Linked DNA regions of Rattus norvegicus. Each later gene encodes a partner of the first gene's protein in a complex. Links are inferred from orthologs where the notes say so. Each region holds a gene or a part of one and is shown in the gene's direction. Other genes may lie near its edges.

Region 1 (6,241 bases):
TACACAAAATCATCTACCAGCTTTTTGAGAACTGTTTTAAAGTGCAGACAGGACAAACGTGTGTTATTGAGGTATGGAGATCCCTATGTAGTCATTTGCTCACAGACCTAAGGATGCAGGACCATTACCAACAGGAAAAGAAACTCTTCAAGAGTGTGCTTTTTCTAGCAACCATTGCCAGTCTATGACAAGCCTGTGGAATGGTCTCTGTACCTTCCTGGCTTGCCTGATTCCTTACTTCCCCCTATCATCTCACAACCTATCTTTTCCCCTAGAGAAGTCTTATCACCACACCCAGGGACAATTGAATTACTAAGGGGGGTGTTGAATGAAGAACACAATTATCTTAAGGGGAAGCTGAAATGCCCCTACATATAAACACTCAGTTTTCAAAAACAGAAATATTTTCTCTGTTGGCTTTGTGAGGAGGGAGGGACCCATGAAACCTGAGGAGGCCCCACGTGAAATACAGCAACTGCCACTCTGAAGATGGCATGTTATAGGTCTAGACTTTTGACAGCTAAAATTTGAAGACTAGAAACTAAAGCAGGGGAGGTGAGCTGCGGATGTGTTTTGAGTGATAATGCACGCAGAGACGAAGGTCATGCAGGCTCTCATTCTAGCGAGGCCTTACACAGCAGAACTTTAGTCTGAGAAATCCAGGGAATTTCTTCTTTTTTGGGCACTCAACTTGGTTTCTCAACAGGTCACATGCGCCTCTCCCCTTTAAGAGCACAGCCACTGAGCTCCTTCTCACACATTTCCTCCTCGGAAGCTGGGAAATTACCTTCTAGGGATGCTGAGTATTAACGGCTTGTTTACCACGCTGGCCTCACTAAGCCAAGGAATCTTGTCAAATTTTGGAACAAAAGTCTAAAAGAGAAATGGAGAGAGATCATTTTACAGAGTTCATCACACACACTTATGAAAAATAAATCTTAAAGGGAGTCAGAGGGCCAGAGAGATGCCTTAGTGGTTAAAAGCACTCCTTCCTCTTCGAGAAAAGCCCACGTTTAGTTCACAGCACCCACATATCAGCTCATGGCTGCCTATGACTATAGCATCAGGGAATCCAGCACCCTCTTCTGGCCTCCATAGGCTCCTGTAATTAGGAGCACATACCTACACATGTGTAGATATAATTAAAAGCAAAGTATTAAAAGAGTTATAACACTTGACTAGTGCTGGTATTACAATGACCAAACTAAGCTAATAGCAATGACAGACACAGCAATCGATAAAACATTTTTACACGTGAGTCCTTCAGCCATTCCACACAGTGGCCAAGAACAAGTAAGTGCCTTCTCTCTTTTACAGATGCAAAATTCAAAACCCAAATAGTGTGAATATTAATAAATGGGCTTGTGCTTTCTGCCTTTGTGTCCACTCTATTTAATATTCTCTATGCTTTTCGTTCTTTGAGCTTCCATCTATTTATAAATCCTGGGATACTTCTGTGACCCCAGTTGAAAATCAGCAATCTCTTGTCCCACAGGTCCTCCACCCTCATCCCTTTTAGGTGGCCAAGTCTAGGAAAGAATCCAGCTTTGGTGCCATCCGCATTTGGATATTTTTGATCTACTTGCAATCATCAACTAGCCGCCTGACTTTGGACAAATACAAACTAATGACCACATCGTCTTTGTGGAAATCAATGCACAGAACGCTATGTGAGATCTGGGAATTTTTTTCTCTCTCCTTCTGGTGCATACCAGAAGCCTGGTTTGGCACTTATAGGAGGAGGGCTTGAATGCGTTAGAGAGTCCCTTGGCTGAGAGCCTGACAACACATGCTCAACCACCTTACTATTAGCACTCTTCTACCAGCCCCACGACTCCTCCCTTTTCCAGCTTCCCACTGAGGGATTTGCCTCCTAGGCTAAGAGCATTCCACTATAAGCAGATTTCCAGGAGGAGCAACCAGTAGAGGGCAGCAGCGACCTCGCGGTGCGGTGTCTCAGGAGGGACGCTTTGGCCGCCCAGTGGTGCGAATCCGGAAGTGCTCCTCCACAGTAGTCCCCTCCAACCCCGCGTCCCGGATGTAGAAGTAGCAGGGCTGCTGCTCTTCTCGGTCGTACACCCCCTAAAGAGCTGGGGCAGGTGGGTTCCGGCGTCCTTCGCTTCGGGCCTTTCCGGCTGAGCCAAGGCTGGGAGAGGGGCGGCGGCGGGCAGGGCAGGCCGGCTTGGTGAGTGGTTGTCTAAGACCCTTCCCTGCTCCGTACCGCGGGTCTTTCTGATCCAGAGGTCCCAGTGCATGAAGGCCGATCCCAGGGTGTCCGGCTTTTAAAGTAAAGGTCTATCCTGGCCTCTTATGAAATAAAGAAGGTCCGGCAGGAAGTTCTTTCTCAAATTTGCTGAATGACTTTTTTGTTTCTGACTCTGACTTTCCCATTCTAAAATGGGATGGTTGTTTTCTTGATCTTGCACTAGAGTTTTGCTGTTTCAGTTAATTAGGATGATATATCACTTTAAAGGATGGTGAGCTCAGCTAATGAACAAAGAAGAATTGAGTTCTTGGTTTGGGCTAAAACTGTAGAGATCATACCCTTCTGTTTTGTGCAGATTACTGTTGTCATGAGACTAATAACTTATTCAGATGCCTTTGGGAACCTTGGTAACAGCTATGGATTCTGTTTCTATAAATTTGCATAAGTTGCAAATATAATCATGCAAAAATATGTTCATACACCTTAGGGTATATGAATGCCCAAGTTAAGACTGGCTTAGCGAAGGATGACCAGAAGCACAGACTTTTTGACACCAGACTTTTGTTGGAGGTCTGGGTCCACTCTGTTACCCTGAGACCTAAATACTCTACTGTTTTTAAACCCAGATGTCTTATTAGGTCAAGTGGGACTGGTATTAACTTGTAAGGCTGTGACAATTAAAGAAGGTAATAAGACATTTAACATTCTGAGTCAGTGATGCTATGCAGATATCAATGATTAAGATTCTAATTTAAAATGTGACGGTTTGGTGCCTCGTTATGTCACTAGACAGAATTTATTTAGGCTTTCAATAAGCAGAGTCGTTTTGATTGTAACTGATGCCTACCATGACATCCCCAGCTTTGATATATTTACAGTTCTCTCTTTTTCTAGGAATTTAGTTGCGTTGTCCTGATTCACGGAACAAACTCATCTATTGCAGGCTTAGCCTGGCCCGAAGACTTTGTAAACAAGGAAAGTTCTGTATGCTATCAGCGTGGCATTTCTGAGAGGTCTTAATCTACAACTTTATCAAGAACTAGAATCCTGTGGGCATCTTTGAGGGAGATTGAGCCCGCCTGGATTTCAGGAAAGGATGAGATAATGTGTGCTCAACATGTAGCGGACACCTCCGAAGTCAAGTGGCAGAAGGTTTTATATGAGCGGCAGCCATTCCCTGATAACTATGTTGACCAAAGGTTCCTGGAGGAGCTCCGGAAAAACATCTATGCCCGGAAATACCAATACTGGGCTGTGGTATTTGAGTCCAGTGTGGTGATACAACAGCTGTGCAGTGTCTGTGTCTTTGTAGTCATTTGGTGGTACATGGACGAGGGTCTTCTGGCTCCCCAGTGGCTTTTTGGGACTGGACTGGCATCGTCCTTGGTTGGGTATGTGTTATTTGATCTTATTGATGGAGGTGATGGACGGAAGAAGAGTGGGCGGACCCGGTGGGCCGACCTGAAGAGTACTCTGGTCTTCATTACTTTCACGTACGGTTTCTCACCAGTGCTAAAGACCCTGACAGAGTCCGTCAGTACGGACACCATCTACGCCATGTCCGTTTTTATGCTGTTAGGCCATCTCATCTTCTTTGATTACGGTGCCAATGCTGCTATTGTATCTAGCACACTGTCCTTGAATATGGCCATCTTTGCTTCTGTTTGCCTGGCCTCACGCCTCCCCCGGTCACTACATGCCTTCATCATGGTGACATTTGCCATCCAGATCTTTGCACTGTGGCCCATGTTACAGAAGAAACTGAAGGCGTATACCCCAAGAAGCTATGTCGGGGTCACCCTGCTTTTTGCCTTTTCAGCTTTTGGAGGTCTTTTGTCCATTAGTGGTGTGGGAGCCATACTCTTTGCTCTTCTGCTGTTTTCCATTTCCTGTCTCTGCCCTTACTATCTCATTCACCTGCAGCTTTTTAAGGAAAATATTCATGGGCCTTGGGATGAGGCAGAAATCAAGGAAGACTTGTCCAGGTTCCTTAGCTAACCTAGGGACCTGCATTTCATTATTAAGAAAAGTTAAAAGACTTAGAACCTAACCAGTGTAACATTTAAAGGCAGGGTTCCACTCTCAAAGCAGCAGGCTGATCTGGGTGGTAGAGCTGAGATCAGAAGAGTTTAACCAAGGGTTTAGGGGAAGGTGTTTGCCCTTCAGTTTACCTTGTGACTTAAAAAGCTTTCTGGTGCTGTTATGAATTATTGTCCTTTATTCCCTCTAACAATGATGTGATGTGGGTTCTGCTTATTAAAAGAGTAACATCTATTGCATCGTCTCTTATTTAAAAAAAAAAAACCACAACCCTTATGTATGTGTGCATGAGAGAGAGGGTGGTCTATGTTCAGTATATATGCCCACCCATCAAACTCAGGCTTTGACAACAAGCCTTTACCAGTTGAGCCACCACACTGGCCCTGTCTCATGATTTTTATGAGAGCATAAGACAAAGGTAATATGAAGGCGTGTGTGTGTGTGTGTGTGTGTGTGTGTGTGTGTGTGTTTGTGTGTGTGTGTGAGTGCGTGTGCGTGTGACACGCACATGTGTGCAATCAGTTGTTTAGCCTTTTATCTGTGTACTAAGGAACACCTTTATATATCTAGAGCCTGAATTTGAGGATCTCAGATGGTGGCATCCAGTTTGTTGTCCGATACTACAGAAGTGGTACTCAAGGAGAGTTATATGTCATAGAAACAAAACGTTGAGAGATATTGAAAGAGGCTGGAGGGAGAGTTCATCTCAAGCAATTAGGAAACCAGAGGTGACATTTGATTTACTCTTGGAGGATAGCCTTTGAGAACCAGAGAGGCAATACGAGCAAGTGTGGGAAACTATGGAGCAAGCGAGTGTGCTCAGTGAGGTCAGCTGTCCAAAATGTCACTCTGAAAATGATTGTTTCTACTCAGTTTGAGATCCATACCTGTGGCATTTCAGAGAAAGTATCACAGTAGCTGTGACTCTGATTCTTCTTAATATGAATAAACTTTGTAAATGGCCTCAACTTTAATCCAGCTTGCCAGCCACATTTGCAGGCAAGACGTGACTACATGTGATACAGTCCAAGCGCAAAGACAGAAAGTGACGGGGATTTAGTCACAGAGATCTGGGGGAGGAACACAAAGAGTGGGAGCTTGAGTCATTGTCGGCTCTCTATTGATCCAGTAATCGGGCTCTGTTGCTGGTAAGGGGCAATCCGGCTTGTCTAAAGATGGGACAGGTTGTGACGTCTTGAATTCCCTCATTGTGCAGTTCTCAGCTTTCCCCTCTAGTATTTTTTTCTTCTTTTTTCTTTTTTTTGGAGCTGGGGACTGAACCCAGGGCCTTGTGCTTGCTAGGCAAGTGCTCTACCACTGAGCTAAATCCCCAACCCCTAGTATTTTTTGTTAAAGATTTATTTATTATATATAAGTACACTGTAGCTGTCTTCAGACACACCCGAAGAGGGCATCAGATCCCATTACAGATGGTTGTGAGCCACCATGTGGTTGCTGGGATTTGAACTCAGGACCTCTGGAAGAGCAGTCAGTGCTCTTAACCACTGAGCCATCTCTCCAGCCCTCACCTCTAGTATTGAAGAATCGTTGCAGCAGATGAGCTGTGTACAATGTTGGTGCTGAGCGTCTTAAACGCAAAACTTCAAAATCCGAAATGCTACAGAGTCTGCTCCGAAAAATTTTGAGCACCAATGCTATGCCTGGTGAAAGTTCCACGTTCTACGCCATGAAATCTTCATGTGCAAACTTATTTAAGAAATATAAAATTGTCTTAATGCTGTGTATAAAGTGTATGTGAAATAAGTAAACCTTGTATTTGGATGGATCCTATTCTAGAGCTAACCCTTTACGTAAAAATTTCAAATAAAAAAATGGTTTTGGTCCTAAGGGTATTGGATAAGGAACATTGGATTTGTCATAGTAATTGGGATGTGGGTTAAATTTGAAGAGGTCAAAGGTACAAATGGATGAGTTATTTCCCCCTAGTAGCTGGTTACATCTGCGAAAGTGATACTGTTCCCTGCTTGTTGTAAT
Region 2 (5,555 bases), on another chromosome or scaffold:
CTGTTTATTTAAATAGGTTTCTCCCCATGCAGAGGGCAGCTTGGAGGAGTCAGGCTGAGGCACTCTAGCCATCTTGGCAAACATGGTCTGGTAGGCCTTGCCCTTCTCTCTCATTCCCTCTGCTAAAAACCACTATGTTGTATTCCTCACGCTAGCTCTCAAGGTCTGTTCCCTTATCTGACCACATCCTCTTCAAGGTCCGGCTGTCAGAGTATTGGAGTCCAGCAAACTAAGGCTCCCTTTGGCTGCCCTATGGAACATTCCAATTGAAATTAAATACCTAGTCCTAACATGGGGTTTACCCTTTACAATTTCAAACCGCCACTTTCCTATGTGCCACGTCGATCTCCTCTCTATCCAGGCCTTTGTTGTGTTGTCACCATCCTCTCTGTTGTGCGCCCCCGCCCCCGCCCCAATCCTTTAAATCCAGTCTTTGATTCATTCCCTGCCCTTTGTCCTTTGGGGCAAATCTCTGTGCTCAGAACTCGGTTTTGGGTGTCTTGTGCCAATACTGGTCCCTCCACAGGCTTGTGCAGTGAGTGTCTTTACCACTTGAACCATCTTGATACTTTTTGTTTCGATTTTTAAAAATTTAATTTAAAAAAATGTTCATATCTGCTCTGTGTAAACCATAGGATGGCTTTGTCCTCAGCTCTTTTCTGCCACCTTGTGGTTGCACTAAAAACTGCATGGAATCGATACCACTACTTACCTGTGCGAAGAAAAACTTTCTGATCTTTTAGTTTGCTGGAAGATTAAGGGATGGCGGTCCCTGTGTGGTACTGCATAGAATCCTAGCTCAGTCTCATTTTTCTTTACTCTGGGATCAGAGACAACACTGTCTTACTAGGCAAAGCGGTGGCTGTGCACAGCATTTACTACCCGTCCCCCAACACACACACACACACACACACACACCGTCTTACTATGTAGTTGCGATGACCTGGGTGTATGTAGACCAGGGTGACCTCAAACTCACAGAAATCTTCCAGCTTTTGCCTACTGAGTGCTGGGATTAGGAGTTTAGGCTCCCATGCCTGGCTACATTCTCTCTCTCTCTCTCTCTCTCTCTCTCTCTCTCTCTCTCTCTCTCTCTCTCTCTCTCTCTCTCTCTCTCTCTCTCTCCCTCTCTCCCTCTCTCTCTCTCTCTCTCTCTCTCTCTCTCTCTCTCTCTCTCTCTCTCTCTCTCTCTCTCTCTCTCTCTCTCTCTCTCTCTCTCTCTCTCTCTCTCTCTCTCTCTCTCTCTCTCTCTCTCTCTCTTTTGGTTCTTTTGTTTCGGAGCTGGGGACCGAACCCAGGGCCTTGCGCTTCCTAGGCAAGCGCTCTACCACGGAGCTAAATCCCCAACCCCAACATTCTCTCTTAAAATTGCATTTTACACTTTTTGCAGGAGTACACGCGGGTGTGCTGCAGTACATGCGTGGAGGTCAGAGGACAATGCGAGAAGAAAATAGGTTCTCCACCGTGGGGGTGGGGGTCCCCGAGGATCGAACTCAGTTACTAAGGCTTGGCAGGAAACGCCCGTACTCGCTGAGCCCTCTCATCGGCCCAAACTACTATTTTGACATTCACCAATTCAAACGTAAAACGACGGATCGGACTCGTTCCCCGCTGCTTCAGAGGCTGGGTGATGGTGGCTGCGACCAAGTTTGATTCAGGCTTCAAGTTTATCAGTTAGAAATGGGGAAAGCTTTTCAGCGCAGAAAGACACCGGTCTGCTCTGGAACGCCGTGAACACACTCTGCGGCAAATACGTTCCTCTCCAAGGTCCAGCAGTCCTGGCACACAGGACGCCCAGCCGGAGGCCGTGGGGTCCGGGGCAGGGAGGTCCTTATCAATCAGGGTCCTCTCAGCACCCCTCTGGCTTCACCCGTCACTCAAGACTACGGGGGCGGAGCCTGAGCGCCGGAGCGAAGGCGTGGTGCGCTGTCCAATGAGCACGCGCGGATCGGCTCCCTCGCGGGATCTGGGTTTCTTACCCCGCCCCCTCAGGGATTTGATTGGGCGGCTGGCCCGGGTGCTCCGCCTTCGTAGAGCGGTGACGGTCACAGCCAGGCGCAGCCGGGACCCGGACATTTACAGGCCAGTGAATGGTGAGTTCAGGGTCTCGAGATCCGATACGGGCGGAGGAGCTGTTGGAACCGGCTGGGACAGGACTCGCGCTAGCAAGGCGTCTGCGCCACGGACGCCTCCGGTTCCGCTTGGCTGGCTGGTTCACTTTCGATTCGGCCGGGTTCTCCTCTGCCCTGTTCGGCTTGGTCCGGTTCTCTCCGGCTTGGCTCGGTTCTCTCCGGCTTGGCTCGGTTCTCTCCGACCCGGCCATCGCTACCCTCGGTCAGCCAGAGACTGCAGCGGGACCCGGGTGCCCCTTCGCGTCCCCGAGGCGACTGGGCCCAGGGCTGGCGCTGTCTTCACTCTGTGCATTGACGACGGGCGGCTCGTGACGAGGCTCCGGGTTCCGGTGCTGGTCCCCAGCCGGTCCTCGTCGTACGGGAAGCCTCCACTCAGGTGTCTGAAGTGAATCTGGATTTGTAGGTCTCATTCCGCTTCCTCGGTTCGAGAAAACACTATCAGTCCACCTGTCCTTCATTCTGCTTTTCGAATTTCTTAGTTCCCAAAGAAATGGATGACACTTGAGTGTTTTGAAGGTTTGTTTTCTAGTCGGGCGTGGTGGCTTGGGAAGACTGATGCAAGAGGATCCCAATGTTTGAGGCCAGACTGCAAGTGACAGCAATCCTCCTGCCTTTAACCTGCTCAGTACTGTACAGGCTGTTTCCCCTTCTTTTCCTTTCCCTTCCCCTCATCTTGTCATCTTGCACTTTTCTCATACAGTAAGGAATCCTTTAGCCAGCGCTGCGAGGGACACGTGTGTTGTCTGCAGTCGCTGGTAACCGCTTCGTGTGGTGGTGGATTGGATCAGAACGAGGCTGAGGAGCCGTCACCCTCAGCCTGGGACCGCTGAAGTTTTTGTGTGCTCTTGGGAAGCATGCCTGGATGAAAGAGGAGTCCAGAGAAAGGGAAGATAAGACAGGAGTGCACCAGCACAAGAACATAACTTTGAAAACAACCGAGTTTTCTTGAACTGTATACCTTCAGAAGGGAGGAGGATGATCCTGTCTCTGCCCACCCTGACTGTCCTCATCCCGCTCATCTCCCTGGCGGGCCTGTTCTACTCCGCCTCTGTGGAAGAAAACTTCCCAGAGGGCTGTACCAGCGCCAGCAGCCTGTGCTTCTACAGTTTGCTTCTGCCGGTCACCGTACCGGTGTACGTGTTCTTCCACCTGTGGACTTGGATGGGCCTGAAGCTCTTCAGACATAACTAGGGTAGCTGAGGCCCCGCTTGTGCACGGGGCAAGAGGCTCCTGGTTGTTGGGTTCTGCCCTCAGGTGTTGCAGATTCTCCTGTTAGTGCTGTAGCTGAAAAACACTTACAATAAATATGTCCCAAGGGAGAGGAACATGACCGGTCTTCATCCGAAGACTGTTTTTTCTAAGATTTATTCTTAATTATGTGGATATGAGTGTGGGTCCCCAAAGAGGCCACACGAGGGTTGGAGGTACGAGCAACTGTAAGACTGCCGGAGCTTTACTCAGATCCTCTGCAAGGGCAAGCAAGTTCATGTCCTTAACCCCTGAGCATCTCTCCACCTGCCTGTTTCCTCCCTTCCCTTAGTTCTGGCTAACCTCAAACTGTGAGAGGCAGACCTTGACCTCCTTACCTTCCTGTCTCTACCTCCTGAGTGCTGAAGTTATAGGCAAGCATTGCCGCATGTGTTTATGTGGTCTGGCAGAACCCAGGTCGTGAACGCTAAGTCGGCACTCTGCCAGCCAACCACCCTGAGGACTGTGTTGTTGTTGTTGTTGTTTTGAGTCCATTCATTTAAAAGTCCGTCATTTGGAAGCCGAGCAGTGGTGGCACTCACCTTTACTCCCAGCACTCGGGAGACAGAGGTGGATCTCTTGAGTTTGGGCCAGCACAACGAGACTGTAAAAATAATAATTTGGGATTTTGTTTCAGCTTCAAGGTCAGTGGTGAGGTGTTGGATCTGCTGAGACAAGGGTTTCAGATGGTTGGGAACTACTGTGTGGGTGCTGAAGAAAATCCAGTGCTCAGGGATGACTCCTTTGAGGAGCTGAGTGGTCCGTAGGTTGGTGGCTCACAACTGCCTGTATTTCCAGTTCCAGAGGCTCTGACTCCCTCTGCTGGACTCTGGGTACCTGCACACCTGTGACATGTCTATTCATTCACACACATTAATAAATTTATTTTTAAGAGGGAAAAAAATCTGACTATAAACTTACCTTCATTGTTTTTTCTTTTACATTTATTTTTTTTCTTTTCTTTTTTTTCAGAGCTGGGGACCGAACCCAGGGCCTTGCACTTGCTAGGCAAGCGCTCTACCACTGAGCTAAATCCCCAACCCCTCTTTTACATTTATTTATATGAGTACACTCTAGCTGTCTTCAGACACACCAGAAGAGGGCATTGGGTCCCATTACAGATGGTTGTGAGCCACCATGTGGTTGCTGGGAATTGAACTCAGGACCTCTGGAAGAGCAGCCAGTGCTCTTAACCACTGAGCCATCTCTCCAGCCCCTACCATCATTTTTTCAGTGTCAGGTGAGCAAGGTCAGTGTTGGTGTTTTCTGGTTCTTGGATTCTTATTCAAGGAATAAAGGCCCATATACAGATTTTCAAAGTTGCAAGGAAATTTCACTCAAAGCAGAGCTAGATCAGGCATGCAGATACATGAGCCTATGGGGGCTCTTCTTACTCAACCACGACACCTGTTCTCCCAGCCTAAATTCCTCTGACTCCTTATGACTCCCTGTACCTCTAAGTTCAGAGGCTCTGCCTCCAAAAGCACTGTACTCAGGTTTTTAACACACACCCCTAAAAATAAACACAAAGTTTTCAAAAAAGAGAACATGTTTTCTTTGGCTGAAAGCCGTCCATCCTTGCTTGAAGGTAAGCCAGAGATGGGTGTGACCATTGCCAGTTCTTGATGCCTGCATTGGACAGAGTCTGGAAATCCTTGAGTACATTGGGCCCTGTGGCCCAGAGGCTGTGACATTCTTCCTCTGGGGAAGTCCCAGACACCCTGGAAACAGGGTTAAAGAAGTCAGGGGGCTGGAGTGATGGCTCAGAGATTAAGAGTGTCCTACTTTTTTTTTTTTTTTTGGTTCTTTTTTTCGGAGCTGGGGACTGAACCTAGGGCCTTGCGCTTCCTAGGTAAGCGCTCTACCACTGAGCTAAATCCCCAGCCCCAAGAGTGTCCTACTTTTAGGAAGTGATTTTTTTTAGATCATGAGTGGTTTACTTGCTTGTATAAATGAGCCCTCTGCTTGAGATGCACACAGAGGTTAGAAGCCGGTATTGGATCCTCTGGAACTTGAGTTAAGGAGTTATGTGAGCCACCGTGTGGGTGCTGGGAACTGAACCTGGGCCCTTGTCAAGAACAGCAAGAGCTCTTCCAAGTCATCGCTCTAGCTCCTGGGTTATTTTCTGTTGCTGTGGTAAAACAACCACAAGCAACTTAGGGGAGGAAAGGTTTG
Region 3 (6,152 bases), on another chromosome or scaffold:
CATGGTCCAAATGCATAACCTGAATGTATAACCCAAGCAATTGCTGCCAGTTCTCTGACCTACACTTGATGTCATCATGGGGCTTGCCTTTTAAAATGCTATGTATACCCCTTACTAAGAGTTTTTTTCTGAGGCCGCTCATGGTCACTGGCCAGTAAGGACTCTTAATTGGGCTTTATATACATGGTAGCCTGTAACCTTTTCACATGGGCCATTAACATATGTCCAGTGTTTCAGAAAAAGCTGAGACTGAAGGATCACAAGTTGGAGGCCAGGTTGGGCTATAGAGTGAAATCTTGTTGCAAAATACCCTTCCACCAAAATCAAATAGAATAAAAGCTATAAGACAGCATTCCTGGGGCTGGGGATTTAGCTCAGTGGTAGAGCGCTTACCTAGGAAGCGCAAGGCCCTGGGTTCGGTCCCCAGCTCCGAAAAAAAAACAAACAAAACAAAACAAAAAAAAAAAGACAGCATTCCTTTATAAAATTATTTGTGTGAGTATTATTTATTAGCGTGGGTACAGGCATGTCACAGCTGGTCAACTTGTGACAGTCAGAGGACACCTTGTGGGGGTTGGTTCTCTCCTTCCACCACGTAGGTTCCATGGATCGAACTCAAGTCATTAGCCTTGGAGGCAGGTTGCTTTACGTGCAGAGCCCCCTGGAAGGCTCCTAACACAGTATTCTCAGAACTACGAAATCTAAGTCTAAGCGAATACTAAAGCAAGAGCTCCATAAAAAAGATTTTAAGAACCCAGTCTGGGCCTGCGGAGTCGCCAGCGGAATTATTTGATTACATTTGCTTCTCCGTTATTCATATTTATAGTGATTCAAGTTCTAAGAATAAATTCAACAGTAGAAATAAATAATCACCCATCATCAGAAATAAGATTGCTTCTATGAACTGCCACAGTAGCACTCCATCTATGCAAATACATGGTCTGGTTCTTTTAACCAAAACTTTAGAAAGTGTGGCAAAGAGGGTCTCGTAGTGGTTCCCCCAATTCTCTCTCCTCACTGAGTAAGTACTTGAAGAACCTGCCTGCCTCCATGTTAGGCTTGAAAGTCATTTTAAAGACAAACTAGGTTCATTCTTGTTTAGGGTGAAACCTGTTTCTCAAGGATTGAACTATGCCCCACCTGTAACCTTAACTACAAATGGTTCTGTACTGCCTGTTCCAGGAATGTAATCATGTCTTTGTTTCGAAAAAGTTGTTTATAACCATCTTGCAACCTTTGTTTCAAAAGGTTACAAAACTACCTTGTGTGTCTTTTTTCCAGAAGGGACTTACTTGCTATACTTGTTCTGCTCCTGTAACCCTATTTTACCAGACAAATCCCCCATTTGGAAACCTTCCTACCCCTGAGCTATAAAAGCCTGTCTTTACATCCAAAGTTGAAACCCATCTCAGGAGGAGGCAGCCTGTGTAGTGAATTTTAAAAGCTTGCTTTAATTTGGCCACGATGATTTGAGTGGTTGTCTTAGTCAGGGTTTCTATTCCTGCACAAACATCACCACCAAGAAGCAAGTTGGGGAGGAAAGGGTTTATTCAGCTTAACTTCCACATTGCTGCTCATCACCAAAGGAAGTCAGGACTGGATCTCAAGCAGTTCAGGAAGCAGGAGCTGATGCAGAGGCCATGGAGGGATGTTTCTTACTGGCTTGCTTCCCCTGGCTTGCTCAGCTTGCTCTTTTATAGAACCCAAGACCACCAGCCCAGGGATGGCACCACCCACAATGGGCTGGGTCCTCCCCCTTGATCACTAGTGGAGAAAATGCCTTACGGCTGGGTCTCATGGAGACATTTCCTCAAGGGAGGCTCCTTTCTCTGTGATTACTTCAGCTTGTGTCAAGCTGACACATAAAACCAGTCAGTACAGTGGTGTTTTTTTCTCCTGCCATCTTTAGGGTCAACATACTCTTGAATAGTTAAGCCATCTGTCCAACTCAAAACTGAATCTTCTGCCTACCTTCTTTCCCGGTATGCATTCTAGCCTCGATAGTTTTTTGATTCCTGTGACTGAAACTGGTTCCAGCCTCCAAGCTTTGCTTTTTCCTGGTTCTTCTTTTTGGAGATTTTCTCCCCCAACTCCCCACCGAACAATGTGGCCCTTGTAGGTTAGTGATGAAGACCTTTACTTAGTTGCCCAGTCCTTCTCACTGAAGCTCTGAACGTTTTTGTCAATAATACTATTAGGTTACGTCTATATCGTTTTTCCTACTAGAAAAGAAGCTAGATGGGGCCAGAAATCTTCAGTACCTAAAATCCCTTCGCAGGGAAATGAATGCGTGAATGAATGAATGAATGAATGAATGAATATACCTGCAGACAATTTTTTGTTGGTCATTCTGGCATAACAACATAAATGAGTCAGTCGAGTGAACAGAAATATTAATCTGTCCAAAACTGGTGCTGCGATTCTGGGGAGTTTTGGCTAAGGACGAACTGGCAGAACTAGTTCCAAGCCCCAGGCCGGCTCTCAGTGAGCGACTACGGCTGCGCGGAGCGTTTGGAGGGCCGGGTTGAGCCACTTCCGGAACAGTCGGGAGCCTGCGAGACTTCCAGCCTCTGTGTAGGCTAGAGCGGCACGACGGGCCGGCGTGTGCGGCCATGGAGGACGAGAAGAGCTTCTCCGATATCTGCGGCGGCCGCCTGGCCCTGCGGCGCCGCTACTATTCACCGTACTGCCGCGAATTCGGCCTCAGCTCGGCTCGGCTGTCGCTGTGGTCGCTCACCGCTGTCACCTGTACGGTGTGGCTGGCGGCCTACGGGCTCTTCACCCTGTGCGAGGTAAAGGCCGGCGCTCGGCCGGTGCAGGCTGCTTGGAAAGGTCTTGGGACTCACCTGTGGATCCGGGAGGGAGGGGACTCCCTGGATCTGGGACGCCGTTCCGCGGCCGGACTGCCTTCCCTCCCCAAGAAGTTTGTGCATCTAAACCTTCTACCACAGTGGACCACTTGCCATGCTCATTCATGGAACATACCTCCTTAGAGAACTCAGAGCATCCTCCTCCCATCACTCCTTACAGGCTAACACTGCCAACGGATAGCGGGCATTCGACAGAATTCCAGAAAGGTTTATGCCTCCACAACTGTACACTATAATATCTCCTCCTAATATCTGTTTCTCAAGCCCACATCAACTACCTCCCCTCTCCCAACCCTTCCTCAATTTAAGTGCATTTTCTAAAGAGTTGCCAGATTTAAGACACGAGTGTTTTCTATGCTCAGTTTCCAGACTTTTTAATCTTTTTCTGAACCGCATTCTATTATCATCATCATCATCATCAATAATTTCGGTAGGGTCTCAGTAAATGTAGTCTGACTGGCCTGGAAGCCTCCATGTAGAGCCTGCCTTTGCCTCCCAAAGGGGTGTGTCATCACACCTGGTCCAATCACTTTTATGCCATCCAAGTGCATGGCAGAGTATAATTAATAATGTGCATAGACATAGATGAAATTAAGTCCCCTAATTTAGGGTCTGAGGAATGGTTCAGCAGGTAAAGGCACCTACTGCCAAACTGGACCACCTAAGGTGAATCCCCAGAACCCACATGATGGAAGGAAGGAACAGATTCACAAAGTTGTCCTCTGACCTCTACACAGTCAATGGTATGGGCTGGTGTGGTGGGGCCACCTTTAATCCCAGCATTAGGGAAGCAGAGGAAAGAGCATCTCTGTGAATTCAGGGCTAGCTTGGTCTACACCAGTCTACATTATCAGCTCCAGAACAAACCAGAGCTACCCAGTAAAACCCTGTCTCAAAAAACCAACCAACCAAACACAAATAAACAGTATTTTAAAAAGACTCCTAATTTTTACCAATTCATATTTAAAAGTTTCCTCACAGGTCAGTTGAAGTTATTAAACTGACCTAGCCCTTCCCCCAAATTTGTAAGATACTTGGATTTTTATTCTTTTGGGGGAGGAGGTATGAGTTAAGGTTTCACCATGTAGCCTTGACTGTTCTTGAACTCACTGTGTAAACCAGGCTGGCCTAGAACTCACAGGGATTCAGCGGTTACTGCCTCCCGAGTGCTGTTATTAAAGGGATTCATCACCATGCCCAGTTGAATGTTAATTCCAGCCTGTGTTCCAGATACCTGTGCGGTTATCTGTAAGCAGGAACTGATATTTATTAAATACCCAGAAGGCCAGCTGTTTCCCTGAATTTCTTATTTCACCCCTAGATGGGGGAAATGTTCAGAAAGAGTAATACAGTCTTGACTTTGATAAAGTGACAAACCTGGGCTTCCAAACTAGAGCTGCCTGACTTTGAAATCCCTTTCCGCCATACTTTGGTCTCCAGATCTCAGGCAGTCGCATTTGTTACTTGTTGTTTGGTTTGGAGATACAGGGTCTTGCTATGTAGTTTAGTCCTTACACTGCATCCTCCTGTCTCAGCCCCTCCCAGGGAAGGGCTGGTATTACAGGTGTGTGCACCACACCCTGCTCATAGCTGTTCTGTCAGTTCCCTATTGTACTCTCCTGCATGGACACCCAAATGTCCCCCAAATGCAGAAGTAATTGTGTTCCCTTACGTTACTCCAAGACTCCCCCAGGGCTCTGTGTGCAAAGGTTCAGATCGTTCTCCTACTCCAAATCTTCATGGAAGTGATGAATAGTGGGAAGAACTCTCAAAGGAGTCCTTCAACTGTGGCTTAACCTGACTCGGCTGAGTAGTGTGCCACCTTAGAATGTTGACCAGGAAAACAGACTTTGAGGCAGATTATCTTGACAGAGGCTGATGGGTAAAATCCCCTAAGCATTCACTGACCCCCTGACCCCCTCTGCTTTGATCAGTTTTGTTAACATTATTCCATTCTGCAGTATATTAGCCCTTTGAGCAGAGTGTGCCCATCAGCGTGTACCATCTTCTCTGCACCAGTTGGGGCCTGCTTCCTTGGAAGTCTTCATGGACCAGCCGTGTGCTCTGATCTGTCTTTCTGTCCCCCTCTTTTCTTCTCCCCTCCATCCTTTTTCCCTCCTTCCCTCTTCCCTTTCTCCTCCATTTGACTCTTAACAGTCAGTAACACAGTATTCTAGCCTTTTTTTCCCTATCAATCTTGCATCTGATAAACCTTGGCTTTCTTCCATAGTGCTTATTCAGTTTGGATTGCTTACAAGACACTGCCCCACACCTGAAGTTAATTAGCCAAAAGGAGATGTTTCTGGGTCATCAGAGGCCCAGTTCTGACTCCTATTTACCAGCCAGAAATAATTATCTGAACAGAAGTCAGCAAGCTTTTTCTTCAAAAGGCCAAATTAATATCTTAGGCTTTGTGGATCTCTGTCCCATATTCTTTTGTCCTTGTGTTATGTTATGTATATGGGTGTCTTGTCTGTATATTTGTCTGTGCAGCACATACATGCCTGGTGCCCAAGGAAGTGAGAAGAGGGTATCAGGTCACCTGGAACTGGAGGTATGGACAGTTGTGAACCTCCACGTGGATGCTGGGATTTGAACTCAGGACCTCAGGAAGAACGGCCAGTGCTCTTAACCGCTGAGCCATCTCTCTGGCCTGTTGTTTGTTTGTTTGTTTGTTTGTTTGTTTTGAGACAGGGCCTCACTGTGTGGCCTGTGTAGCCTTGTCTGGCCTGGAGCTCAGTGTATAGTCCAGATCCACCTGCCTCTGCCTCCTGGGTGCTTGGATTAATGTGAGCCACTGCACCTGCTTCTTTTTGTTCTTTGGTTAACCTTGTGAAAAATGTTAAAGACCATTCTCTGTTCAGAATGGGTGAGCAAAGGTGTGTGGTTGACCTCACTTGTTAAGATTCATGGTTTGTTTTTTGTTGTTTTTGCTTTGGTGTTTGTTTTTAAAGATTTATTTATTTATGTGTGTGAGTACACTGTAAGCTGAAATAAACCCTCTCCTCCTCATGTTGCTTTTGGTCATGGTGTTCTGTCACAGGAATAGGAACCTGAGACACTAGGTCTGTGATTCCCTTTTCTTGTGGAGAGTCAGAGGAGTAAAAAGGTGCAAGAGACCAGATAAAAGAAACAAAACAAAACATCCCACGGTTCAGTTCAGAAGTGTTAAAAGGTTATAAACGTGCCTTAGACACAAGGGCATATGTAGCTGTGTGTGTGTGTGTGTGTGTGTGTGTGTGTGTGTGAGCACGTGCACGATCAAACAAGACTTTGTTCATG
Region 4 (6,485 bases), on another chromosome or scaffold:
AATTCAATTTCCCTTGCTACATTTCTGTGTTGGCTTTCTTAGTATTACATTTATTCTAATATTCTGGAATTTCCCTAAGAGCTATCACTTGCTTCTCTTGCCTCTACGAGAGTATGTCTGTGAGATATAGACCACACCACACTGGCAGTGACAATGACATACTGAAGATCACTTTGTAAGTAGGTCAATTCCATTAGTAAGGGTCTATCTCTAGACAGGCATCAAGTGTTGCAATGAAGGTTTTCAGTAGCCATCATCAAGTGGAGGGAGATGAGCGTCAGGCAAGTTATCTGTTGCTGAGTGCTGTGTGACAAACTTCACTAGAACTTTGTATCTTCAGTCAACAAGGACTTTCTCAAGATGATGAAGAAGATGATGACTAGTCCTGATTCTGTTGGTTGATCAGGATTGGCTAGGTGGTTATATTGTTCCACACAGCACAGGAATTCATTCTATCAAAGTAAAACTCAAGGTAAGCTGAAATGACCAGCATGAGTGTCATTCTTCAAAGTCTTTCTCCATGTGGTTCTTCTCATTTAACATCTCACTTAACAAGCTTTCAAGAGGAAAGGTTCCAACAGGGCATGGCCCAGTGCACAACATTCATGGAGCATTTGCTGCATCTCATTTGCTGAGGGTATCCTTGGTGAAGCAAGCCACATGGTCAAATCTCTGATTCGATGTGGGAGGGATTAAATACAGGTTATCAACTGATGGATCCTTTATTGAAGGCCACCAATGTAAAAATTTCTCACAAGGTTAGTTCTTGTCCCTAGCCACACATGGATCCTGCCAGTATTTATTATTCTACAAGAGCTAATCCTTGCTCCATGTTTTACTTTCACTTACAATGTCCAGGGCCTATGTAGCTTTTAGTCTTTATTAACAGTTTGCAATTTTGAATTTGTATCTCTTTGGGTCTGAAAAAGTACATACACACAGAAAAAAAACATACCTTTTCATTTATATCTGATTTTTTGATTTGAAGCAGAACAAGGAAGTGTGTCACAAAATAATGATTGAAAAATGTCATGTTTGCTGGAAATATGGTTAGCATCAAGTACATTTTCTTCAGCAATTTTTCTTAAGCAATTGACCAGTTTGCTCTAGTTCTTACTAATAATGCCAGTATTCTGGCTACATCTCTTCCCTATCTCTTTCCTGTATAATTATACAAAAAATCTACTGAACAGTCGGCATCTGCCTCTGTATCTTTATTCACTTTTTTTTCTTGAAAGGATCTTGCTTTCAACTTGTATGGATACGCCCTACTTCTTGTTTCATAGATGCTGGTAGATAGAAATACTCTTTTCACTGAAACTCTCAGTCTTTTCTCACATATTTCTCTTATAGCACTTAGCAATTCCTTTTCTCATAGACAGTTTCATATGTTTCAATTTCATCTTGGTTTGGAAATAGTACTCTTGCCAAATTTTTTCTTTGTGTACTTTGCATATAGTTAGCAATCTTTCACGACATGTGTGATGCCTCCCATTCTAAAATTATCCAAGGAAGCTTATTTCCATATGAATTTGCAAAGAACTAAATTTCAAGGGAAGATGATGTCTACATTTACTCGACATCTTTTCTTTTTAGGCCATTTGATAGTACCACTGGCATTGGATACCTTCATACTTTATCATCAGAAGACACTGCACATCAATGTTTTAGTGAAATTCTTGTGGCTTCCAAGAACGTTCTCTAAAGCAGTAGTTTTTAACCTTCCTAATGTTGTGGCTCTTTAATACAGTTCCTTGTGATGGTTCCCCTACCATAAAATTATTTTCATTGCTACTTCATAACTGTAATTTTGCTACAGTTAGGAATCATAATGTAAAACACCTTATATACAGGATACCTCAAAGGGGTCGTGATACACAAGTTGAGAGTCTTTGCTCTAAAGGCATGCTTCGAGGTCATTCAGGCAGAATTCTACAATCCAAATCACCCCTCACCCCCAGATTTATCTCTTAACTCTGCAACAACTTTCTTTTAAATTTTAGAAAATATCGTTAACTTTAGCACAAGCTCCAAATCAATGCCAGTCATGGTGATAGTGCTGTTGTTTAGAAAAGAATTTATTCTAGAAAGGGCAGGAATGGCCACGCTGGGGGAACTGCACAAGTACCAACTGTAAAGAGCAGGTAACTATAAGAACGATCACATAGATTCTGTCTTCTTGGCTAAGCACAATCTGGCTCCAGACCTCAAGACAGTTTTGGCTGACGATTGCAACAGGTTGAGAGGGAACGTTTCAGGTTATACCTAAGATCTCCCCACCCCCAGCCCACCCCCAAACACACGCACGTGCCTGGACTGTAGAGTTGTAAAACAAAATCCAAAATCTGAACTTTGGAAAGTCCTCAATCTTTCAGACATGTACAGATTGTAGATCTAAGACTCAACGTTGATAGTTTAGATTTGATCTGATGTGATTTTTCTTTATTTGCGTACTTGTATTCATTGCATTTAGCAATCTGTCAGAATAACAAGAATCAACGTGGTTGGTTCGACTGTGGTACGAACAGACTGGAAAACGCCCTGACCCTTATTTCCCCGCCCCCTAACCCCGCCCTCCCCGTTTCTCTAACCGGAAGGAGGCGGGGAGAGAGTGGGCTTCCTGAAAAGAGACGCCGTAACTAGGCAACCAGGGTACTTACGCCCGGGACCTTCCGCAGCTCTTAGGAGACATGCTCCTGCGCTCGCTGACGCTACACTCCCTCGTTAGACAGTAGGGGATGACTGGGCGTCTCTCTTCCACGTGAATTCAGAACCTCTGTGCGATTGGCTACTACGGGGGCGCGGCGCTCGGGTCGCGGACGCTTCTGATTGGTGCTTTGGAGCAGTGGGGCGGGATTCTGCTTACAGCCGCGGGAGGTCCGGACAGTGGCGGCCATGGGACTCACGGGTAAGTACGTGTCTCGTCTGTCCTTTCCAACGTTCTCGGTCCCTTCTGGACGGGGTTGGGCCGTTCTTAGAGGAGCGTGGCTGGCTGTGGAGGAGGTGAAGCCTACCCTACGGGAGGCCCAGAAGTCAGGTGCGAGGGTCTCCGTAGTCAAATGGGGCTATGGGTGCCTTGAGGGTTGGAGCTGGTTCCTAGGCTGAGTTTAGTAGAGCGAGGGATTGGAATCTTAGGACGTTTTTCCGACTCCCTTTGCATATGGCCAGATTTTGCCTCATCCTGGGGTGGAGGCTCATAGACCCGGGCTGACCCTCTTTGGCTCTAGTGCACCCGAGATGCCTCTCAGGGAGTCGTGCCTTGGGACTGGATTAAAGTATGATTCTCTTGATTTCTCAGCCCCGTCCGAGCTCCCTCTAAGGATCCTCAGGAGCTTCTACTAATAAGGGAGTTTACTGGCCATGACTGAGAATTTTGAGGACTTCTTGACTTTGTCATTTACGTTGCTTGAGTAGGGACGTTTTACAGTTTGCTTAACATGTATCGCTCGGAGAGAGAATTCACCAGATTTTACAGCCTCTCTTCACTTATAGAAGCCAAGATTCAGTGAGTATGCAATATGTTGAGCTTTGACCCAATAAAGATTTTAGATATAATAACCTGGTGGCAGGCTGACTCAGAACATTGGAGGTCGGTGATGGGTTTTCATTTGGTTCATTATTTCTGCTCTCCTTGTCATTCACTTCTTAAAACTAAATAGGACTAAGGTCCAGGTTTAGATGACACATCACAGTAGAACAGCATTAGCCACTGAGGCTTTGCTTTCTTTTGCAAACTTGATATTTTCTTGCTTTCATTCTTTGTTTACGTATTGGTTGTAAATTTGATCATCTCTCTACTTTTTTCCAGTTTATGTGTCAGGGTGCTCTCCATGTCTTAGCTGCCCTGGAACCCTCAATCATTTGATCCCTCAGCACATGCTTCCTTCTTGCCTCCTCACTCACTCGGTATTAATGAGACTATTTTAAATGTAGATGAATTTGTTGGACAAAGTCAACACATACAGTTGCCAGTGAGACCTGAAACTCAGAGTTTAGGATAGTAACTCTTGATTGAGTTCTTTGTAGCCTTATAGATCTCAACTAAGATAGATTTTTTGCCAGATCTCCAAAGCTATGGCATTAAAAGTTTAAGCATAAATAGAATGGAATATTGAATGAACACTTCATACCAGCATAGGTTTAGGGAACTCCTAAAGGAAACATTTCCTACCTTTAGATGTAGGAAAGAGCCCACATACATACATAGCCCGTGTCCCACTCCATTTCCTTTCAGAGTCCACACTGAAAGGGCACTTGTAGAGGAAAGACCTACATAAGTAAAAGAAGGATCCCAAAAAGAGAAGGGAGCAGTTTGAGTATAACTACCCTTGAATAAGGAAGGAGAAACGGGATTGTCTGCAGCATGAGCTCCGGGTAACACTTGAAGAGAGTGTTCTTAAAAAGTAAGTTCTGGTTCCGGTACATTTTAATGGAAACCACAAAGCAGAATCGTGTGCGGTGCACTGGATCACTAGCTAAGCTGTGTAGCTATCGTCAGCCCAGTTTCAGCGAAGAACCAGATGGTAAATATTTTAGACTCTGTGGGTCATATGATCTCTTTCAAAGCCACTCTACCATTTTAGCATAGAAGTAGCCATCCACATAAGTGAATGGGCAAGCCAGGTTCCTGTAAAAATTTGTTCATAAAAATAGACAATGTGCCAGTATAATTAGATTTCACATCCTAGCCTGTTTTAGTATCCTTTTCTGCCTCAAGAGCCAGAACAAAAGGCAGTGCTAAAAGACAACAGCCTTTTTGCTACTTTTCATGACTCTGGAATCTGCTAGACTTAGCTAGTAGTACTTTTATGCGTCTTTTCAGGGGTTGCTGCAGAAGGCTGCATTTAGCCAGTGTTCTGGCTAGAAATTGGGCACAGGTAAGAATGTAGAGGTAGCTGGGTCCCTATCTCTCTCCATGTAGCTTGTAAGCCCTTTTTCTCTCATTGTCTCCCCTATGCCCTTCTTAGCCCAGTAGCTGCATGACTTATGTGTTAACTCCATAAATAAAAGCCATCGAACCTTTCATAGGCCGAGGTCAAAGATTTGCATGTCCCTTTTACCATGTTCTGTGGCTTACATGGTCCAAATGCAAGGAAGATTCCTAGGTGCCGTGGTGCACACCTATAATCCCAGCTCTTAGGAGGCAGAGGCTGGGAATGCTGAGTTCAAGGTCGGTGTGAGCTATAAGCTAAAACTTGGCTTAAAAAGTATGTGAGAAGAGATGATCACAATAACCTGGCACAGTATGTTCTCTCTAACTTCTTTAAGCTTTAGACTTAGCATTTATACTATATAATTAATACCTTATTTAGGTCTATATGTGAGAAAACTTTGCGTAGCGTTGGATATATAGTGATTTAAAAGGTGATAAAGCTTAATAAGCCGATAAAAGTGATAAGAGAACCAGGGAAATATATGGGTATATGTTTAATTATTGGAAAGAATTGGGTTTTGTAGCAAACCATTATGTACTATGACATAACGTTTATTTCCCAGCTCAATGAAAGCATTGCAGAATATCACTTTTTGTTCTGTGACATCACCATGCTAAGCAAGTAAATGTTAAGTGAATAAGTTTATAGTGTGCTTTGCTTTTATTTCTAAGGGAAAAATATGCCTTAGCATTACAACTATTTCTAACAGGATATGAGATATGAAATGAGATTAGGTTTTGAGCTGATGTCCTGCTTTTCTCTTTCAGGTGACAGAAGACACATTTCTTAACAGGCTTGCTCTGAGAACTGATGCGTGAACCACCTCAGCATGGCCAATAGAAGAGGAGGTGGGCAAGGCCAGCCTCCTTCAGTGTCTCCTTCCCCCGGTAGCTCCGGAAGTCTTTCCACTGATAGGACCTGCACTCATAATATATGCATGGTGTCTGACTTTTTCTACCCAAACATGGGAGGTGTGGAAAGCCACATTTACCAGCTCTCTCAGTGCCTCATTGAGAGGGGGCACAAAGTCATAACTGTCACCCATGCTTATGGAAATCGAAAGGGCGTCCGTTACCTCACCAATGGCCTCAAAGTTTACTATTTGCCTCTGAGAGTCATGTACAACCAATCTACAGCCACGACTCTCTTTCACAGTCTGCCATTGCTCAGGTACATATTTGTTCGGGAGAGAATTACGATAATCCATTCCCACAGTTCTTTCTCTGCCATGGCCCATGATGCTCTCTTCCACGCCAAGACAATGGGGCTTCAGACAGTCTTCACAGACCATTCCCTTTTTGGATTTGCTGATGTCAGCTCGGTGCTTACAAACAAGCTTCTTACTGTGTCTCTTTGTGACACAAACCACATCATTTGTGTCTCTTACACTAGTAAGGAGAACACTGTACTCAGAGCAGCACTGAATCCTGAAATAGTGTCCGTCATTCCTAACGCTGTAGATCCTACTGACTTCACTCCAGAACCATTTAGGAGGCATGATAGTGTAATAACTGTTGTTGTTGTCAGCAGACTTGTTTACAGAAAAGGTAA
Region 5 (6,187 bases), on another chromosome or scaffold:
GAGTTCTGGCTGGCCAGCCCAGGGAACTGTGGGGCTACAGGCCAGGGGTGACACAAGCTAGCTGGGCGCCATTGACCTGGACGCTTCTGGGGGGGACTGCCGAGGTCAGAGCCAGGGGTCCAAGGAACCTCAGGTCTTAAATCTGGGGCACCTTCCTCTCAGCACCCCCATGTGCCTACCACTCTGCTGTCTGACCCTGGGAGGGAGCGGCATCACCAGCCTCACAGGAAGAGCTTGACTTCTTGGTGGAGCTGCCAAGAGGGTGACCAAGGTGTGGTCCTGACACAAAAGTCCTGCCTGGAGGGGTGACCTATAGTTGTAGAGGGCTGGGGGTGCCTCTTGAACAGTCAGGCTTGCCCAGTGGAGCTGTGCAGGGGCAGTAGAAAGTGTTCAGGATTAGGGTGAGGCCAATGTGAAGACCCAAACCAGAGGGTGCAGGCCTGGAGGCTGGGGACTCAGTCCAAACAAATCAACTTGTCCCTGCAGGAAACTTGCCTGGTCACTCCTCCCCTAGCTACACCCTCCCCCAACACACACACCTATGCTGTCTCTAACAACAGAGGCCTGACCTCAAGCCCCGAGGCCAGTTAGCCCCAGGTAAGAGGTATCATAATCTCTGTGCAAGGGGTGAGGGGCAAGTGGGGAGCCCTGGGAGGTTGGAGTTTGAATGTCTCCCTGGCTAAAGCAGAGGGGCTGTGTATGGTGATGGTCGAGGTGAAGATGGAGGTGATAGTGGTGAGGGACTAATGCGAACTTAGGCAACTCCTATGAAGGAGTCATCCCAGGGCTGCTTATCTGCCTCCTCCCCTCCTCCTTCTCAAGCCAGGACACAGCCGTGCATGCGATTTGAGCCTTAGAGCTAAACCTTTGACCCTTTTGGGTGCATAGTATCTCTCAGACTACTGCAGCAGACACCTAGACACCTGTGTGGTTGCTGTGCTTGGGGACCAGGTGAGCACTCAGAACCGGGAGGAATTGAACACACATGCAGCTCAGCCTTCCCCTCCACCTCCTACCTCACCTTAGCTCTTCATCTACAATGGGAGGGTGCCAGCACCCATGGGCCACCATCTGCACACATGGATGTTCCAACTCTTTTGCAGCTGCAGAGAAGCCGAGACTGTGACTGCTTGCTGCCCTGGCCTCCCGTCTGTCCTGACTCCTTGACCTCCTGGGCCACCCCTATCCCCAGCCACCTACCCGCAAGGGCCTCATCTCAGGCTGGACCAACTTAGAGATGCCAGTGGCTCTTGGCAGCCTCGGCTGCTGGGACGAATCCTGGTGCCAGCAGGGGCTGCAGGGAGCCCCCGAGGCCTGCACTGTTCCCCAGATGGCCTGCTCTTCTTGACGGCTGGTGCTGCATCTTGTGTCCATGTGCTGGATCTTGAGGGACGCTCCATTTGTCAACTACCCTGCTGCATTCCTAGAACTGGAGCCTTTGTTCCAGAGGATGTGGCTGTGACAGCTGCAGGGCTTGTGGTGGTCAGTGACCTCATCCACAGGGCTGTGTATGCTCTTCGGTACACTTCCCGGGAACCCCAGGGCCGCTGGGTGACTGTAGGCAAGTTCTTGTCCCCCCGAGGGCTGGCTGTGGATGCTCTTGGCCACTTCCTGGTGACAGACTACTTGCCTGGAACTGTGCACAGCTTCATGTTAGGACCAACCTGTGAGCCTCTTGCTCCAACCTCCATGCTAGGTCTGGAGAGCCCTTGTTGGGTAGGTCCAGGGCCTGATGGAGGCTTTGCTGTGAGTGAAGAGTTTGGGGATGTACAATTGTTTGGCAGTGCCCACCAGCCTCTGGGCTCCCTAGGAACCCTGACTGGGCACAGCTTTGGTCATCCAGCAGGTGTGTGCTGTGATGCAGAGGGTAGCATTATTGTGGCTGATGAGCAGAGGCAACAAGTGACTCTGTTTCCCCGGGTTGGGCCACCCATCTGCTTGCCGTTGGAGGGACTAAAGAGGCCCTTGGGTTTGGCCTGTGCACCCCAGGGCCCACTAGTGGTGGCAGATGCAGGGGACAACTGCATCAAGGTATACCAGTATCTGGGGGGAGATGGCCTGAGGGTGGGCTCTGGGGAAAATAGTCCGTTGCTATGACTGGCCGGGCCTGAGTCCCTTGTACTATCGTGGAAGATTAGTAGGCTCCTTGAGGGCTGCTGAGCCTTCTTCCTGACACCTGCTCTTAGCTAGCCTTGTGATTTCCTCTTGGCAAGTGCTCCTGTCTACACCGAAACCATGAATCACCATCTCTTGATCAGGTTCTAAATGGGGTCACCTTCACTTCCCTGTTCAGTATGCTCATAGTTTTTCATGGCCTGAAACCCCATGGGCCATCCAGTCCCTCGTTCTGCTAGCTTGGGTCTCAGGAGGCCTGAGCTCTGAGGCCACACTTGAAGCTATAGATCCTGGGGACTGAGGCTGTCTGCCAGCAGATACCTAGGCAAGATCTCCTGCCGAGTGCCCCAACCCCTACATCCTAATCAGAGGCAGGCAGGCAGGCAGGCAGGGTGTGGCTAGGCTGGGCTGGGCAGTTTAGGGGAAGGGTGTGGTTCCTTAGTGTCCCCCCGCCCCCACCCTCAGAAATATCCCATTCTTGAGCCTCCAACAGCGCTCTGGGACCAAAAGAGAAGTAAGGAGTAGGCAAATCAAAGGGGTAAGCCTTATATGTGTCCTGAGCTTTTGGGTGGGGTCCTGGGATGGTTCTGGGTAGCACAGGTTCTTTCATACCCTTCCATTCAAGACAAGAGCCTTTCCTCCCATGTTACAGATGAGATCTGGAAGTGGGGAAGGGCGTGTGTGCACATGTGTATGTGTGAGGAGCTTACTCAGTGAGAATCTGTGTCTCACCCATGATCTTCAGGTGGGAAAGAGCAAGAAAAAGGTGCTTGCTTTTGTCCCCTTCAGGGTGTGGGGTGGCACCCAGCCTGTTGTCTGGAAGTTGAGGTCACCACACAAGTCACTCCTCCAGGTTAGCTCAATATGTCCTGATCATTATGTTGTGGGGGATTAACAGACAATAAAAGAAATTTTGTTTGTAAGTAGATGCTCAAATTACTGCGTTGTTAGGGGAATTGCTCTCAGACTATGCGACCCACGGAGGTCGCACTCTACCCGCAATGTAGAGAGATAGTGGGCAGGGCGGGGGTTTAGGAGGCCAGGCAGGGTGTGGCGGTAAGAACAAAGCGGCTACCTGGATCCTCAAAGGCTGGATCCACCCGATCTTTCAGGACATTTACAGCGAGGGTAGCTTTGATGACAGGAGCCGTGCGCGCGGAACTCTCGGGCTCAGGCAGTGGACAGCCCGGGCACGTTTGGGGACCGGACCGTCGCGCGACAACGCGCGGAGCCGGCGGAAATGGTGCTGATGTCCCGCGGCGGGCCTGGGAGCCGCGAACACAGTCGTCCTCCCGGGCCCGCCGAACGCGGTGCTCAACCAAGTCCCTTCCCTACCGCCTGGGTACGCGGCCCGGGGGATCAGCCGGTGAGCACTAGCGGGGGCCGGGGCCCGGAGAGGAAGAGGAGGAAATCCCGAGGCAGCGCAGGCCTCTTGGTCCTCAGTGCCTGGTGCCTAAGACTGTGAGATAGGAAGCTGGAGGCCGGGGTGGAGGGAGCAGCGGCTACCGCGCAGCTGACCTCCAGGCTCAGCGGCACCCTTTGTGGGTCTGGGCTTGCTATCCCGAAATTGAGGGCGGCGAAAGGCCCCTCCTCCTCTCCAGGCGGGGAAATTGTTGAAAGATTCCTGGGGCACCGGCTGAGAGGCTCATATTTATCGACTCCAGTAAAAATCGGAAACAGATTACCCCCACCCTTTGAAATGAAAAAGGAAAGCATTTACAGAGGCAAAAATGTGTTTCTGGACAGATTCTCTTATAGGCTAGGTTGGCCTCAAAATCCTAGTGTAGCAAAGGATGACCTTGAATTTTTTTGATCGTCCTGCGGCCACCTTCGGATTACAGATAAACTACTACTATCGGTCTATGAGGTTCTGTGGACTGAACACAGGGTCTTGTGCAGGCTAGGCAAGCTCCCTACCAGCTAACTACATCCCTAGTAAGAAAAGTGGGGTTTTTTTTGGGGGGGGGGCGTTTATCTTGAACGTGTGGTAAAACCGAACCCTCTCAAAGATTCACAAAGTAATGTTTCAGCTATGATGTGTCCCAGGCCTCTCCTAACTGGGCTGTACATCCCTCAATCCTGCTCCTTGCAGGGGAGTAAGCAGTACCTCTGCTTTTGCTCAAGTCTGACTTGGAGTTCTGTGGAGAGACTTCCTGGGGCCTCTTATTTAGACCTCCTGGGAATGGGCTGTCCAGGAGGGACTTAGCAAAGGCAGCTTTTCCAAGCTTGGGCTGTTCTTTTAACCAGCATCTTTAAAGGTGTTCGCACAGCCCAGGTCTCTGCCTTCTCTTTCCAGCCTCTCACCTCTTGTATCGATCGCCTGCTCTTTCATTTTTTCCTGCTGCTGAAATCCCAGCAGCCCAGTGGAAGCACACTGCTTTTTACACTTCAGTGCTTCCGGAGAGGCTGAGTTGGGAGTAAGGGTGGGGATTTGCCTCCAAACTTGTTGAGTTCTCTCAGTGCCCCACAGATCAGAGCACCAACCTCTCTCTGCCTTCCACCTTCTTTCCTTAGACCTGAGCGCTCTCTCTCTCTCTCTCTCTCTCTCTCTCTCTGTGTGTGTGTGTGTGTTTGGGTTAAGGTAAACTATAAATGAAGCATGCTCTGTAGAAAGGATGTGCATAAACACAGTGTGCATACAGCACAGTGGATTTACACCTTGAACAGACTCAAAAACAGCCTTCACAACATCAGTTTATAATTAGACCAAGGGCATGTCTCTTCCCACCCTGTTGTGAACATTTTTCCTTAGTTCATGTGAAGTGTTCCCCAGAAGAGCCAGATATTTCGCTGAGCTGGTGTATCCTTACAAGGTAGTTGAACAGGAGCTTGGGCTGGGCTGAAGGGTCCCCTATGACAGTGGCGCACTGGGGCTCTTACAGGTAGAATGGCTCTAGTATTTTTGTTTTCTTTTTTTTTTTTTTTTCCAGAGCTGGGGACCGAACCCAGGGCCTTGCGCTTGCTAGGCAAGTGCTCTACCACTGAGCTAAATCCCCAACCCTGGCTCTAGTATTTTTAACAGTGCATCACTACCCCGTGTTGTGGCCTTCTGGAGACAGTTCCTACTGAAGGGACAAGAGAAATTGATTCTTGACACTGGCAATGGAGATTTGGCCTGGCCTGGTATTGGGCATCAGGTTTTCTCTGTGGACACCCACCAGTTGCCTGGCTCCTCCAGGCACTTTGGGGTTTTGTTTTACTGGAGGCTTCTGACTTGGAGTTCTATGGAGAGGCTTCCTGAGGCTCCTTTACTTGACCCACCTGGGAATGGCTTTTTCAGCCTCTGACTGTTCTTTTCATCAGCATCAACATTAGGAAATCTGACAGTGCTAGGTCCTGTTAGTCCTCTCAGCTTTGGGCTGGCCCTTTAGTTCCTATGAAACCCTAGGTCTAATCCTCAGTGTCACAAAAACAAAAAGCTTTGCCAAGTTGTTCACGTGACGGTTTCTTTGGGCTGGTATGCTTGCAGGGAGGGAGCAGAAGTATCTGGGTTCCTCAAGCTCTGGGCATTTGTCTTTAGGACAGCTACCACCACCACTTGTGTTACCATCCGTCTGTCCTCTTCTCTCCAATTATTTTATGTGAACACTAGACCTGGAAACCAGGCTTCAGCCCAAGATCTGGGCCTCCCTCAGGAAAGGATCCAAAAATGGGGGTCTTTGCTCTGGGTGTCTTTCACTTCACATGGGCAAGATGTGGTATTGACTAAAGAAATGCCTATGTAGGCACCTGGACCTTGCCAAACATTCCAGCAGTTCAGTCCAGCAGGCACAAGCGAAGGAAACCCACAATCTCCAAATAGCTCCTTTCTGTGGAGGGAAAGGTGTAGGGTTCACAGAATAAAGGGTTTGTAGCTGCTGTGGTGGTTCTTGATGCTCAAAGGTCACACCAAGGGCCTTTGAGGAGTTCAAGGGCTAGTGTCCCCTCAGAAAATGCATTGACATTCTCTCATGGAGAGAAATACTGCTCTGCCGGGAGCCCTGTCTTGGGGTGTCTGTCAAGGATTTCAGAGGTGAGTAGAGGGCAGAGCAGAGGGAGCTCTACTACAGAGCTACATTTCCAGTCCCTTCTT

Evidence for each region.
Region 2: Pigc (region 1) and Pigy share a complex: the UniProt entries of both Homo sapiens proteins name them as parts of the glycosylphosphatidylinositol-N-acetylglucosaminyltransferase (GPI-GnT) complex. The link is inferred for Rattus norvegicus from reciprocal best matches to the Homo sapiens genes PIGC and PIGY.
Region 3: Pigc (region 1) and Pigh share a complex: the UniProt entries of both Homo sapiens proteins name them as parts of the glycosylphosphatidylinositol-N-acetylglucosaminyltransferase (GPI-GnT) complex. The link is inferred for Rattus norvegicus from reciprocal best matches to the Homo sapiens genes PIGC and PIGH.
Region 4: Pigc (region 1) and Piga share a complex: the UniProt entries of both Homo sapiens proteins name them as parts of the glycosylphosphatidylinositol-N-acetylglucosaminyltransferase (GPI-GnT) complex. The link is inferred for Rattus norvegicus from reciprocal best matches to the Homo sapiens genes PIGC and PIGA.
Region 5: Pigc (region 1) and Pigq share a complex: the UniProt entries of both Homo sapiens proteins name them as parts of the glycosylphosphatidylinositol-N-acetylglucosaminyltransferase (GPI-GnT) complex. The link is inferred for Rattus norvegicus from reciprocal best matches to the Homo sapiens genes PIGC and PIGQ.

The regions. Positions count from the first base shown.
Region 1 is NC_086031.1:76,874,941-76,881,181, forward strand, and holds Pigc (phosphatidylinositol N-acetylglucosaminyltransferase subunit C), read left to right. Parts: upstream 1-2,124; 5' UTR 2,125-2,185; exon of another isoform or gene 2,186-2,324; intron 2,325-3,100; exon of another isoform or gene 3,101-3,149; 5' UTR 3,150-3,310; coding exon 3,311-4,204; 3' UTR 4,205-4,480; downstream 4,481-6,241. Other genes in the region: C13h1orf105 (uncharacterized protein C1orf105 homolog), read right to left, coding at 788-873. UniProt on the Homo sapiens protein: Part of the glycosylphosphatidylinositol-N-acetylglucosaminyltransferase (GPI-GnT) complex that catalyzes the transfer of N-acetylglucosamine from UDP-N-acetylglucosamine to phosphatidylinositol and participates in the first step of GPI biosynthesis.
Region 2 is NC_086026.1:28,963,593-28,969,147, forward strand, and holds Pigy (phosphatidylinositol N-acetylglucosaminyltransferase subunit Y), read left to right. Parts: upstream 1-2,832; 5' UTR 2,833-3,107; coding exon 3,108-3,323; 3' UTR 3,324-4,284; downstream 4,285-5,555. Other genes in the region: uncharacterized protein Pigyl1, read left to right, coding at 1,438-1,647, 1,883-2,521. UniProt on the Homo sapiens protein: Part of the glycosylphosphatidylinositol-N-acetylglucosaminyltransferase (GPI-GnT) complex that catalyzes the transfer of N-acetylglucosamine from UDP-N-acetylglucosamine to phosphatidylinositol and participates in the first step of GPI biosynthesis.
Region 3 is NC_086024.1:103,626,589-103,632,740, reverse strand, and holds the start of Pigh (phosphatidylinositol N-acetylglucosaminyltransferase subunit H), read left to right. Parts: upstream 1-2,581; 5' UTR 2,582-2,612; coding exon 2,613-2,792; intron 2,793-6,152. UniProt on the Homo sapiens protein: Part of the glycosylphosphatidylinositol-N-acetylglucosaminyltransferase (GPI-GnT) complex that catalyzes the transfer of N-acetylglucosamine from UDP-N-acetylglucosamine to phosphatidylinositol and participates in the first step of GPI biosynthesis.
Region 4 is NC_086039.1:33,684,047-33,690,531, reverse strand, and holds the start of Piga (phosphatidylinositol N-acetylglucosaminyltransferase subunit A), read left to right. Parts: upstream 1-2,914; 5' UTR 2,915-3,505; intron 3,506-3,520; exon of another isoform or gene 3,521-4,234; 5' UTR 4,235-4,523; intron 4,524-4,530; exon of another isoform or gene 4,531-4,877; intron 4,878-5,701; 5' UTR 5,702-5,763; coding exon 5,764-6,481; coding exon of another isoform or gene 6,482-6,485. UniProt on the Homo sapiens protein: Catalytic subunit of the glycosylphosphatidylinositol-N-acetylglucosaminyltransferase (GPI-GnT) complex that catalyzes the transfer of N-acetylglucosamine from UDP-N-acetylglucosamine to phosphatidylinositol and participates in the first step of GPI biosynthesis.
Region 5 is NC_086028.1:15,459,518-15,465,704, reverse strand, and holds the start of Pigq (phosphatidylinositol N-acetylglucosaminyltransferase subunit Q), read left to right. Parts: upstream 1-2,616; 5' UTR 2,617-2,653; intron 2,654-3,190; exon of another isoform or gene 3,191-3,481; intron 3,482-6,187. UniProt on the Homo sapiens protein: Part of the glycosylphosphatidylinositol-N-acetylglucosaminyltransferase (GPI-GnT) complex that catalyzes the transfer of N-acetylglucosamine from UDP-N-acetylglucosamine to phosphatidylinositol and participates in the first step of GPI biosynthesis.